Rattus norvegicus: one gene and its partners. The protein of the gene in region 1 purifies or fractionates together with the protein of each later gene. This does not show direct contact. Links are inferred from orthologs where the notes say so. Each region holds a gene or a part of one and is shown on either strand. Other genes may lie near its edges.

Evidence for each region. Proteins that work in one complex are often made in the same cells at the same time.
Region 2: the proteins of Ppp1cb (region 1) and Ppp1r12c purify together in Homo sapiens (affinity purification with mass spectrometry; 3 studies listed by BioGRID and IntAct, with this or other methods). This does not show direct contact. The link is inferred for Rattus norvegicus from reciprocal best matches to the Homo sapiens genes PPP1CB and PPP1R12C.
Region 3: the proteins of Ppp1cb (region 1) and Ppp1r10 purify together in Homo sapiens (affinity purification with mass spectrometry; 5 studies listed by BioGRID and IntAct, with this or other methods). This does not show direct contact. The link is inferred for Rattus norvegicus from reciprocal best matches to the Homo sapiens genes PPP1CB and PPP1R10.

Annotation. Positions count from the first base shown.
Region 1 is NC_086024.1:29,709,981-29,714,188, reverse strand, and holds the start of Ppp1cb (serine/threonine-protein phosphatase PP1-beta catalytic subunit), read left to right. Parts: upstream 1-1,353; 5' UTR 1,354-1,617; coding exon 1,618-1,669; intron 1,670-4,208. UniProt on the Homo sapiens protein: Protein phosphatase that associates with over 200 regulatory proteins to form highly specific holoenzymes which dephosphorylate hundreds of biological targets.
Region 2 is NC_086019.1:78,365,912-78,369,477, forward strand, and holds part of Ppp1r12c (protein phosphatase 1 regulatory subunit 12C), read left to right. Parts: intron 1-981; coding exon 982-1,112; intron 1,113-1,192; coding exon 1,193-1,311; intron 1,312-3,566. UniProt on the Homo sapiens protein: Regulates myosin phosphatase activity.
Region 3 is NC_086038.1:2,835,869-2,839,434, forward strand, and holds part of Ppp1r10 (serine/threonine-protein phosphatase 1 regulatory subunit 10), read right to left. Parts: intron 315-3,566; 5' UTR 304-314; coding exon 197-303; intron 1-196.

The DNA of each region.
Region 1 (4,208 bases):
TGACACCTAGGGCTTGCTGTAAGGGTTAAATGAGATAATATTGTGTATTACATCTAAAATAATGCCAGGACACATGATCCCAGTAAGTGTTAGCTATTAGCGGTATGTGAGCAAGGGACTCAGCATCGTCAAGTCTGAGATTTGGAAAAGCACAGATTTGAGAATAGGTAAAGGCTTTGACCTGACCTCTTCGAATCTTTGCCTAGATCTTTTTTCGTGGTTACTCTTCCTACTGCCCTTTGATGGCAATATTAGGTGTTGGAAGGAAAGGTGAGCCACGAACATTTCCAAGTCCCTGAGTTTCTATTTCTCCCTGACTTGTATAAAGTAGATAAATACTTGGTGGGTGCTGCAGACTCAAAGATTGAGTTGGTTTCTTGAGATGGGAACTTTTTACACACACACACACACACACACACACACACACACACACACACACACACACACACCAATTATGTAGCTGAAGATGACCTTGGACTTCTGGATCTTCTGCTTCCACCTGCCAATTATAGGGATTACAGGCGTCTCATGCCCAGCAAATGTGATTTTTATCCTCTAGGAACCGAGTGCAGGAGAGAAATGTTTAAAATCACAGGATAAGATGATTAAGCAATATAATAAATCAATGAGCAGAAAAGAACTATAGATAGTGGTATCCTGAGTGTTCGGAGATGTATGATATGATGAACGGGCTACAGAAAGAGAAACCGGAAGCGTGTAAAATCTTATTGCTGTTGACTGAGGCCAACTTTTAGTCTTGTTTCATCTAAGGCTCGCCTGGCGAAATCAGCCACACTGGTGACGCGATGAAGTTCCTCTGATCTGCAATGTCAATCTTTTCAGCAGAGAAGTCTATCTCTAACACACCTAGGTTTCCAACATGGGCAACTGCAGCCCACGTTTCCGGGCTAGCGGAAATACGAGCAATTGTTTGGAAAACCAGTGAATGAAGCCAAGAAAAGAAAAGCTAGGCGGGAAGAACGCAATCATTAATTCTGCGGAACCACCAGGCCCCAGGGAGCAGGAAAGAGGAAGGTCATTCGTGCCTACGCGGGCTCTGCGTTCACTTTGTACAACAAGGCTGGCTCCGCCCTGCGCCTGCGTACTGGCGACTATTCGGCGCAGTGGCCCTGGAGAGGGAGGGAGTCGCACCTGCGCGTTAGCGTCCGCGGAGGGGAGGACGAGGAGCAGGAGAGGCTGGAGGGGGACGTGGCGCGCACGCGCGCCGCTCGGCAAGGCTGGGCAAGGGCGGAGGGGAGGGAGTGACGCTGAGGGCGGGGCTGTCCGCGTCGCCCGCGAGCTTGCGGAGCTGGGCGGTGCCGAGGAGGAGGAGGAGGTGGAGGAGGCGGTGGCGGCTGGGGTCTGACGCGGCCCGGTTCGTGGGGGCCCGCTTGTTTATTTATTTATTTCTAGTGGGTGCCGCCGGCGTGTGCGCGCGCTCTCGCTGCTCGGCGGGGAGGGGGTGGGGGGAGGGCCGGCGCCCGGGGGGAGTTGGAGCCGGGGTCGAAACGCCGCGTGACTCGTAGGTGAGAACGCCGAGCTACCACCGCCGCCGCCGCTGCCGCCGCGGAGAAGCCCTTGTTCCCGCTGCGGGGAGGAGAGTCTGGTGCCTACAAGATGGCGGACGGGGAGCTGAACGTGGACAGCCTCATCACCCGCCTGCTGGAGGGTGAGTGCGGCGCCGGGTCTCCTCTCAGCCCGGCCGCGGGGCCCTTCCCGCTCGAGCCGAGCTCCCGGAGGAGGGCGGGCGGGTCGGGTGCCCCAGGAGGCCCAGAGCGCGGGCTGGCGGGCGGGCGGGGAGGCCGGGCTGAGGCCCGAGGCCCATCGACCGGTACAGCCTTCCGGAGAGGCGGCCGTGCTCTGCTTGGCCGCTGTGCTTGCCTCTGCTGACTGTTCCAGAGAAGGGGCGAGGATGCCTGCCTCTGGGCTTTGTGTGTCCGTGGAATGTGTATTTCTCAATTCTCTTTGTGCGTTGCCCTTGGCAGCCCCCGATTGTCGTTCCGGTAGTGAATTTTACAAAAAAAGTCCTTCCGAGTAAGGCTCTCGGATCGTTTGCATTTTACTGGATGCTCTAGAAAGAATTAAGGAGAGGATACGATGACTAGCTTACCATTTATTCTCTGGCGTACAAAAAATAGTAAAAAATCTTGGATCAGGTTAAAGACGTCCGTTGGAAATATGAATCGCCCGGATACATGTGCTGGTTTGGGGGGGCTTACTTTTTTTTTTTTTAAACATGTTTGAGCCGTGTTTAATTTCTTCACAAACTTAGTAAATGTCTGTTGTAAAGAACCTCTTGGGCTTAAAAGGTATTTTACAAGTGTTCGCAGCATTTAAAGTTCCGGGTTCTTAGGCTTTTATAGATCAGTTTTGTGTTGGTGGGAACATAGGGAGAAAAGAGATGGAGAGGCCAGCGGTTACATGTATTAGTCCGTTGTGGGATACTATTCAAAGTTAAAGGCGGGCCTTGGTCAAAAGAAGCCTTTTACTCTAAAATTTGCGTCGTCACTAATTGTTTGGGGAGTGTGTAAAAAATGAATTGTCTTTTTGAATGATTAAGAGTCCTCTTTGTCAGCCTCCTAATGAATGCGTGTGTTTACTACAGCGAAGCATTTTGTGTTTGTGTTTGGAATTTTACCAAAGAGCGAGGAGAGGGGTGACTTCTTCAGTTAAAGTATGAAGTATCTATTCTTTGTTTAAAAAGAAAAAAAAAGAAAACCTCTATATTTGCTCCAGATGTTAAAGCTTGCCAGCAGTCTTAAGGCTGAGAAAGGCAGAACTTTTACCAGGAACTCTTTCTTATTTACCTTTTCCTTGAGTATCAAGTTATTCCTGGGAGGCCCCCTGGTGCTTGCTGAGCTCACTACTCGGGACTTCGTGGTCTTTAATTGATAGGAACATCTTGCTGGGTCTGTGAGAAATTTGTTTAAAAAAAAAAAAAGTATGCTTGTAGTGCATGGCTGACTCTATTAGGGAAATATAGTTATCTTAGATTTTTATATCTTGTCACTCTTCGGAGAAGGGGGAATTTAAGCCCACCGCTGTTTTCATATAATTTAAAATTTAAATTGTTTGAATCGGATTTTACTAATATTTTTAATTTTTCATAAATACCTTACAGCAGATGCATGCATTTTAAATCGATCTAGAAGCCCTTAAATCAAATGTACTTCTGTATGGTTACAGATACTTAATGTAACTAATAGAGTGAGAGTTGTAGAGAAAAAGGGAAAAGTAACCTCAGCTATATCATCGTTAAATATTTGGTTCTAGCATCAGTTGCCACCACCCACTACCCCCCCCCCCACTTTCGTGGTTAGTAATTCTTGTCAAGATGCATTGTTCTTTTTTCTAATAGATCAAGTGTTTATTGATTGCACTGCCAGGCACCAGGAATCAAAAATAAGGCAGTTCTCACTCAAGGAGCTCAGTATAAACAAGTGACTTTTCAGCGTTTGCTAGCCTTTCTGTTCTTCCTGTGTTGAACGGACAATTTATCAGTAGTTTTGTTACACCCTTATTCCTTAATCCAGTTGAAGACTGTTTACCTCCAGTCCCTCCCTCCCCAAATCTAAACCTGTTCAAATAATTTTCAAAGACTTGGATTTTCTAGTGAGTCATTTCAGTCCTTTAAAAAAAGTTTTTTGAGACAGGGTTTCTTTGTGTAGTTCTAGCTTTCCTGGAACTTGCTCTGTAGAACAGGCTGCCTCAAACTCTGCCTCCCCCAGTACTGGGAATTACGGCTTGTACCTCCTCTGCCGGGTGGTCTACCTTAGTTTTCAATGATGTTGCATTCTAATTTAACTCAAATTCAAGTGGTGCTATTCTGAAAAGTTGCCTAGCAGAACAGAATGACTTGGTTATATATATTGTGTGTGTCCTAAATGACAGTGAACATTAAAAGATACGTAATTATAGTTAATATAAATTTCAGAAGACGATTATCATAGCAAGGTACTACAGTTAGTGGTCATTGTATTGAAGAATGTGAAGAGAACCCCTGTGCTGTGCTCTAAGGACAAATATGATAACTATGACAGCCTTGGGAGATAGGTGTGTGAATTCAGTTTGTTCGGCCATTTCACAGTGCATATACACTTAAAACTTGTACCTAAAAAGATGTAGCATTGTCTGCCGATTAAAGATTGCTTTTTGGGGCTGGGGATTTAGCTCAGTGGTAGAGCGCTTACCTAGGAAGCACAAGGCCC
Region 2 (3,566 bases), on another chromosome or scaffold:
GCCCATCTGCCTCCTTGCCCCCCCTCCCATCACCATGACAACAGGGTGGAAATAAACTGAGCCCAGAGTGAAGCCCAGAGTTCATCCCGTTCCCAGGGCACGTGTGGCCCCCCTCTTGCAGCCTAAATTTCCATGACTTCATGCTCTTGGCCCTCGTAGCTTCCTTCTCTCTTTCTCCAGATGGTTGAACTTGAAGAAGGGGGTTAATTTTCATGAGGGCCCAGGAGTGGGGACCCTACCCCCTCCCTAGACTCAGTGGTTCCAGTGTCTAGCCAGTGTCATCAGGGATGGGGACCAGCTCTCTGGATATTGTGCTGGCTAGGGTGAGACTTTCCTCTCCCCAAGCTTTCAGTTCTAAGGGTGAGGAAGTGTGTGTGTGTGTGTGTGTGTGTGTGTGTGTGTGGCGGGAGGGGGGAGTAGTGTGGTGTGGGTTGTTTGGAAAAGATGTTCTGAGGGACCTGCGCACAGGAAAATTTGGGAAATATGCCCCTGGACCTCAGCTTTGTCTCTGGGAGGAGGTGCATGTGTGTCTTTTTGTGGTGATAATCTTTTTTTCCTGTGCTATGAATGGAACTCAGGGCTGGGTGATCATTCTTCCACTACCTGTGCTGGGTCGTGTCTGATCAAGGCGCCCTGTCTTTTGGGAGGCCATGTCTGGGCTCTGGGGCTCCTCCATCTCAGGAATATGTTCAGCAATAACATGCAGGGATGGCAGTCCTATTTTTCCAGGTCTACATTTTCATCCTGGCTTCTGGAGCCTCCTCTTGTCTCTATGAATTCTTCATGCTCAGGTGACCCAAACATGGAGTAACTAGGATATTTTAAGCTGCTGGTGGCTGGAGGACCCCTGGGACTTACATTGGAGCCATCTGCATTGCTTTCCACACTCCTCACTGGCCCTGGGTCCCTTTGTAGAAAAGTCTCCGTGTCGGGCCTCTGGCTGGGTGAGATGCGAGCTGATGGGCTTGTTCCCATCCTCAGGCCTGCATAGATGAGAACCTGGAAGTCGTTCGCTTCCTGGTGGAGCAGGGTGCTACTGTGAACCAGGCAGACAACGAGGGCTGGACGCCTCTGCATGTGGCTGCCTCCTGTGGGTACCTGGACATTGCTAGGTGAGGCAAGGGTTGAAGGGAAGGGCTTGGGCTAGGTGTTGGGTCCAGGCCTGGCAGCTCTGACCTTTCCTTTTCCCTAGGTACCTCCTGAGCCATGGGGCCAACATCGCTGCTGTCAACAGTGACGGGGACCTGCCTTTGGACCTGGCTGAGTCAGATGCCATGGAGGGACTGCTGAAAGCAGAGATCACTCGCCGAGGTGGGCCCATGGGATTAAGAGCTTTGGGATTTGGGAGTCTTGGCCCAAAGGTCCTGCCCATTTCCTTGGACTCCGGCTCTCTTTATGCCTCTATTTCTTCCCCAGTAAAATGGGGTTACCAAGGGTCTAGTGAGACACTACCAGACACAAAATAAGAGTACTGGCTGCTATGAATGTGTCTGTCATTTCAGCCCCAAAGAACTGAGAAATGGAGGTATGGTGAGCAAATGCTTGTCCAGGAGTAAGGAGCAAAATGGCTAGATCCTAGACTGGGACATATAGTGGATTCCCTCCTGACCTCCTAAGACCATTGTGTCCTGGTTTTTTTCAGTGGGAACTAGGAGCCCCTTGAATCTCCATGTCTGGCCCTATTCATTTTCCTGGATGAGGTGCTTGTGTTCTTGAGGCTTGAACTCCCGCTCTGCTGGCCTGAAAATCTAGTGCTCAGTGTCTAGGCCAGGTGTGGTGCTGTGTGCCTATAATCCCAGCTTTGGGTGACAGAGGCCGGAGGATCAGGAGTTCAAATTCATGCTCCCTATGTAGTAAGTTCAAAGCCAGCCTGGACTCCATGAGATTGTATCAGCATACAAACAAATCAGTATCCAGAGCCAGCTGGGTGGATCTTAGCTCCCTAATGCAGGGCCTGGAAGGAAAGGAATTGGGAAGCAGGCTAGTTTGGGAATGTTGTGAAGCTTAGCAGGCTCTCTAGGAACATAAGTCGCCAGTGTACCCTAGATTTCAGTTCCACACTGGGGAGTGTCCAGATAGGTAAGAGGGGAGAGAGGACAAATGGATCATGGGAGGATAGTCTTGGCTTCCCTGTTCTTGCATGTTACCACGCAAGGTGGAAAGACATGAGTTTAACATTTTGGCATATTGAATTTCAGGTGGCTGTGAGTCAATTGGGGATGCTTGGTAGCTAGTCAGCACCAAGAGATGGAGGTTAGATTTTAGAAGCCTCCCTGGGTTACAGTGGAGCAGCAGTAACAGTGGTTGAGTCAAGCTCCTCTTCCTTTTCCTGATTTTATTTTGGTAAAACTTCAAACACAGAAAAGTTTCCTCAATACTATGACTACTACCTTAGACCCTTTCCTGGGCTTAATCACAGAATTTGTTGAATTATGTGTTTGGGTCTTTTTTCTCTAAGTATGTCTGTTCCACATGCATGTCTGGTGCCCACCGAGACCATCAATCCTTTTGCAATTGTAGTTACAGATGGTTGTAAACCTCACTGGGTGCTGAGAATTGAACCTGGGTCTTCTGGAAGAGCATCCTGTGCTCTTAACCACTGATCTGTCTCTTTAGTCCTATTTATCTTTGAGACAGGGTCTTGCTATGTAGTCCTAGCTGGTCTGGTACTCAGTATTAGTTCGGACTGACCTTGAATTTGGAGCTTCCTGAGTACTTGCATTATACATGTGTGCCAGCACTCCAGCTGCTGTTTTAAAAGTCTTTTTATTATCATTAATGTGAAAGCTTATGCATTGTGAGGGGCAGAGGATAACTTATGGGAGTGGGCACCCTCTTCTTCCATGATGTGGGTCCTAGGGATGGAACTCAAGGTTGTCAGGCTTGGTGGCAATCACCTTTACCTGCTGAGCAAACTGGCCAGCCTGCCAGTGGTTTTACCACAAAGCAGCATTGAGGCTATAATCAACAAACCTAGCAGTTCACCCATTCAGAGTGCTTGGTTCGTGGTTGTGCTGTGGTCCACGGAGTTGTAGAGTCAATACCACATTCATTTCAAAGTATGGTTAAAGTTACCCTAAAAAAAAAAAAAAACCAAAAAACAAAAACAAAAAAAAAAACCCTGTAGTTTTTAGTCCCTTCCCCATCCCATCTCTAAGGCCTTCTGTCTTTAGGAATGCATCTGACATGGACATTTCACAGAGATGAAATAGCAGTCTAAACAGACATGCTTTACTGTTTTGTCCTGCTTTCCTTCCTTCCATACACATAGGCATCAATACCTTTCTTGTTTTTCCCTTTCCAGCCTCCCTTTCATTCCTCAGCTCTTTGAGACTATGTTGCTGATGTTGTAAACTCTGCCCAGATAATGGAGAGTCCCTCCTTCATCAGGTCCTGCTGCTCTACCCTCTCCAACAAAGAGGTGGGGGCAGCCTGGGGCCTTCACCCTCAGTGCCACAAGGTAGTTCATGCTGTGACCTGAGCTTCTCCCACTGAGAGGCTTTAGTGAAGGTGAGCCCATTGGTCTTGCCTTCCCCTGCTGGTGCTGATACATTTCTCAGATTCTG
Region 3 (3,566 bases), on another chromosome or scaffold:
TTTTGGGTAGGCACAACATGACCCAAAAACAAGCCAAGGGTTGGTTTCTATGCTCCCTTGGTGTCACCCCATGAAGACGCTTGGGACTATGGATCAAATCCCCAGCTTCCAACATGGCCGGAAATCACTGCTCTCTGACCCAGTCTCACTGCATGTGCTCTCCTCTACGGTAAGAGACCTGAGGGCACAGACTCACCTGAAGATCTTGGCAATTCCATCCACACTCTTCACTTCTCCATCCCGAGTAAGGAAGCTATCTAGGCCCTTGAGAAGTTCTTTGGGGTCTATGGGTCCTGAACCCATGATGGTGGCTTCTGAGGTAAAAGAAAAAAAAAAACAAAAACCAACAGGATAAATGGGTGGCAAAGATAGGTCCACTAACTTATCCCTCTAATAAAACCCATTGGCCCAATTAAAACTCAGTGACAAATTTATGTTCAAGTGTACCATTTCCTAGATAAGAAAGATTAGATCTGTGCTCACAAAATAGCCTTGACAACTTAAGCTTGTGGTTAATGAAGACACCAACTTTGAGTTACACTTCAAGAATGTACCAAGGCTAAGACCCATGGTATGGCGCTCACTTCCTCATGCTAAGGTCCTGTCCCCAGTCAGCTGGTGGTAATTTTGGTGAGCTGGGCAGTTACAGCTTCCTAAGATAATTAGGACAACCCGAGGTATCTGGGTTAAAAATTTAACAATCAATCATCCTATCTCCAGAAGTCAATCCCTTTATCTTGGCTGTTTAAGATCATAATCACAGGTGGAAGAATGAGTCAGCTGAAGTGGTGGATGAGAAAACAGCCAGGCCCTGAGCAGAGCCCTTCCCTAGGGAACTGAGAGAAGCTGCCTGAAGAGGAGACAGGCAGGCTCTCATCAGCCCTGAATAAAGCTACTCACTGGACAAACACCAAACAAGCTTTTATTGTTCCAAAGTTCAAGAGAAAGTTAGCTTGTGGTTTCTGAAGCAAAGTTGCAAACCTGACCCTTTCCTGCCCTCAGGACTCCCCACTCTTCAAACTCCCAAGAAACCAGGAACCAAAAATAATGAAGGTAAAGCCAAGGAAAACGGGACACCACTTCAAACCAGGCTGGCACAGGAGTGAGTGCCATGAATAGGAAGCCACTTCTACAGTCGCAGAGAGAGAATCAGAGCTGCTCTGGTTCTGACTGGGGGTTTCAGTCATACTTCTATCAGCACTAGCCTCTGAGAAACAAAGACACAGGCCTCCTGAGCAGCTGAGATGACCAGGCCCGAGTGGGCAGGAAAGAGAGGGCCTCTACATCCTGCACATCACAGCAACAAGGCAGTCCCAAGGGTGAAAAAGTCTAAACAAAAATCACTGCATTTCCTACAGATAATAAGAGTCTTGCAATTCAAATCAGTTTTCCCCTCAGACAAGCCAGAAAAGATGTGCTAAAAAGGACTATTTAACGTGGGTAAAGAGGCTGTCAGACAAGAGTGATTCTCCAGATAAAACAAGATAAAAAAAAATTTAGAGTGTAAACAAAGAAAGTCAGCTTTAAAGGTGAACTTCCTAATAACCCAGGGCAGTAGCAAGAGCAGCAAAGAGGTACAGAGAAAGGAGGGGTGGCAGCAGTCTCTGCTCTGCAGTCTGATGCCTGTGGGATGAACATGGGGGAGAGATGCAGGCAAGAAATGCTAAGCACCGAGCAGACCTTGTTAACCGCTGCCACCCAATACCCTGGAACTGGAGGACAGAGGAGACATTCAACACTGGAAATGTTCACAAGCTAAGGGGAGGGCAAATCCACTGCTGTGAGGCTATCTGCACACAGAGAGAAATGCCCCTGTGTCCTCAGACAGTGATCTGTAGAAATTCCAGGTATACAACAGATATCTGGAAAAGGGATGGATGGGCCCAAGGTAAAGATACACACAAGCAATCTAGAGTAGGGAGTTTATATTCACATAAATCTAACAGAAGCCCAAATAAAAATGTATGCAATTTGACAAATCTTGAACATTGCCTCACCCCTCTGAAAACAGCGGATTGAAACCCAGATCTAAGCACACCTCTTTTGTGTATCTACCATGAACTAACAGGCCTGACTCTAATGCCCCTCACTCAGTGAGCAGACAAGGCAGAGGACAGCCTTTAGAGAACTGCACCAATGAGTACAGAGTGAGCATGTCTAGTGCCCTCTGCTGGAAATGGGACCTAGGTACTTAACATGCCCACTCATGTAAACACAAAGGCACAGTAGCCAAAGAAGCTGGGAGACAGGACAGACATTAAGATGCGTTTCCCACAACTGTGGATATTGGGAGGATGGTTGACCTCGTCTCCTCATAGTAAAATGTGCTCAGTGCCTTTTCTTCAGTATTGACTCCTTATTAGGAACCCTAGGTGCCTTACAACCTAGGCCATTTTCACAGGCACGATATAAGGTCTTCCAGTGGGAACAAAGGAAGAATCCATCATATGTGGTGAAGGCCCAATAATGCGATGACCCGGACGGGCAGGGACAGCGCTCAAGGGTTCCCCACTCCTGCTCTGGAGTTTGAAGTTGAGGGAACTTTCTGTAACCACAAAGAACTCAGGTCATGTTTTCTTTTCTTTTGGTTAACCAGCTGCTAATCTCCATGAAGGCCACAGACAAAAGGAGACAAGGGATCATCTCCTGTGACGTACCTCTACCTTCTAAGTGCTGGGGATGTCCTGCAGTTCTTACTAGACACTAAATTCCTACTCGACTTCAAAATGAATTTCAGGGTTGTTTGGTTTAAAATGGTGGGGAAACATTGATCCTGACTATTTACTAATCATCTATCACCACTGAATCCTGAATCAGTTCAGGACACAAGGTCCATGCAAGCCAGGCAGCTTTAAAAAGGTCTTCAAACAAGAGGGAAAAGAAGCCCTAGCTCTTCTTTGTTCTGACCTGGGCTGTCTTCCCTCAGTGTCTCAAGAGCTTCCTGCTATGACCCAACAGTGGGTGAACTGTCTCAGGTGGTTCTCAAGGTTCTATATCCTTGCATAATGAGGCCCTACTCTTGCCTCACCTTTATTTTGAAAATCTCTTAAACTCCTTAGGAAGAGTGTTTGGCTTTTAATAAAGATACAAAATTACATTCACCACCCTGTTCCTAGAAAGCTGGCAGCTCTGTAAGAATCAGATTCTCCAAGGTTCCCTAGAAGGCCTTGTTTTTCATCTCCCACATAAGGCCTTCTTTACTAATCCCCTGCTCACTAGAGATCAGGAACCCCAGTGGATGGAACATTCAGGTCCCAAGGTAGGTGTGCTGCAGAGGTACCTGGCAAACTGCTTAAAAGATAAAAAAGACGTGTGGTAAATAGACATGTGGAAGAGGCCCTCCCATTCAATCAGAAGTCCAAGCAATGAGAATCCACACCCAGCAGAAAATTAGCCCTGTTGCACCCAAGTCACTATAGGACAGCAGGACAAAAGGCTTACAAACTGCCTAGAAACTCCACACTTCAACGCAGGACTTTAAATAAAAAATGAAAAGTATATGAAGAAAATGTCAAAGACTTGACTTTGAAAAAGTTGGGGAAGAGCTAAGGAACCAGGCGCCCAGT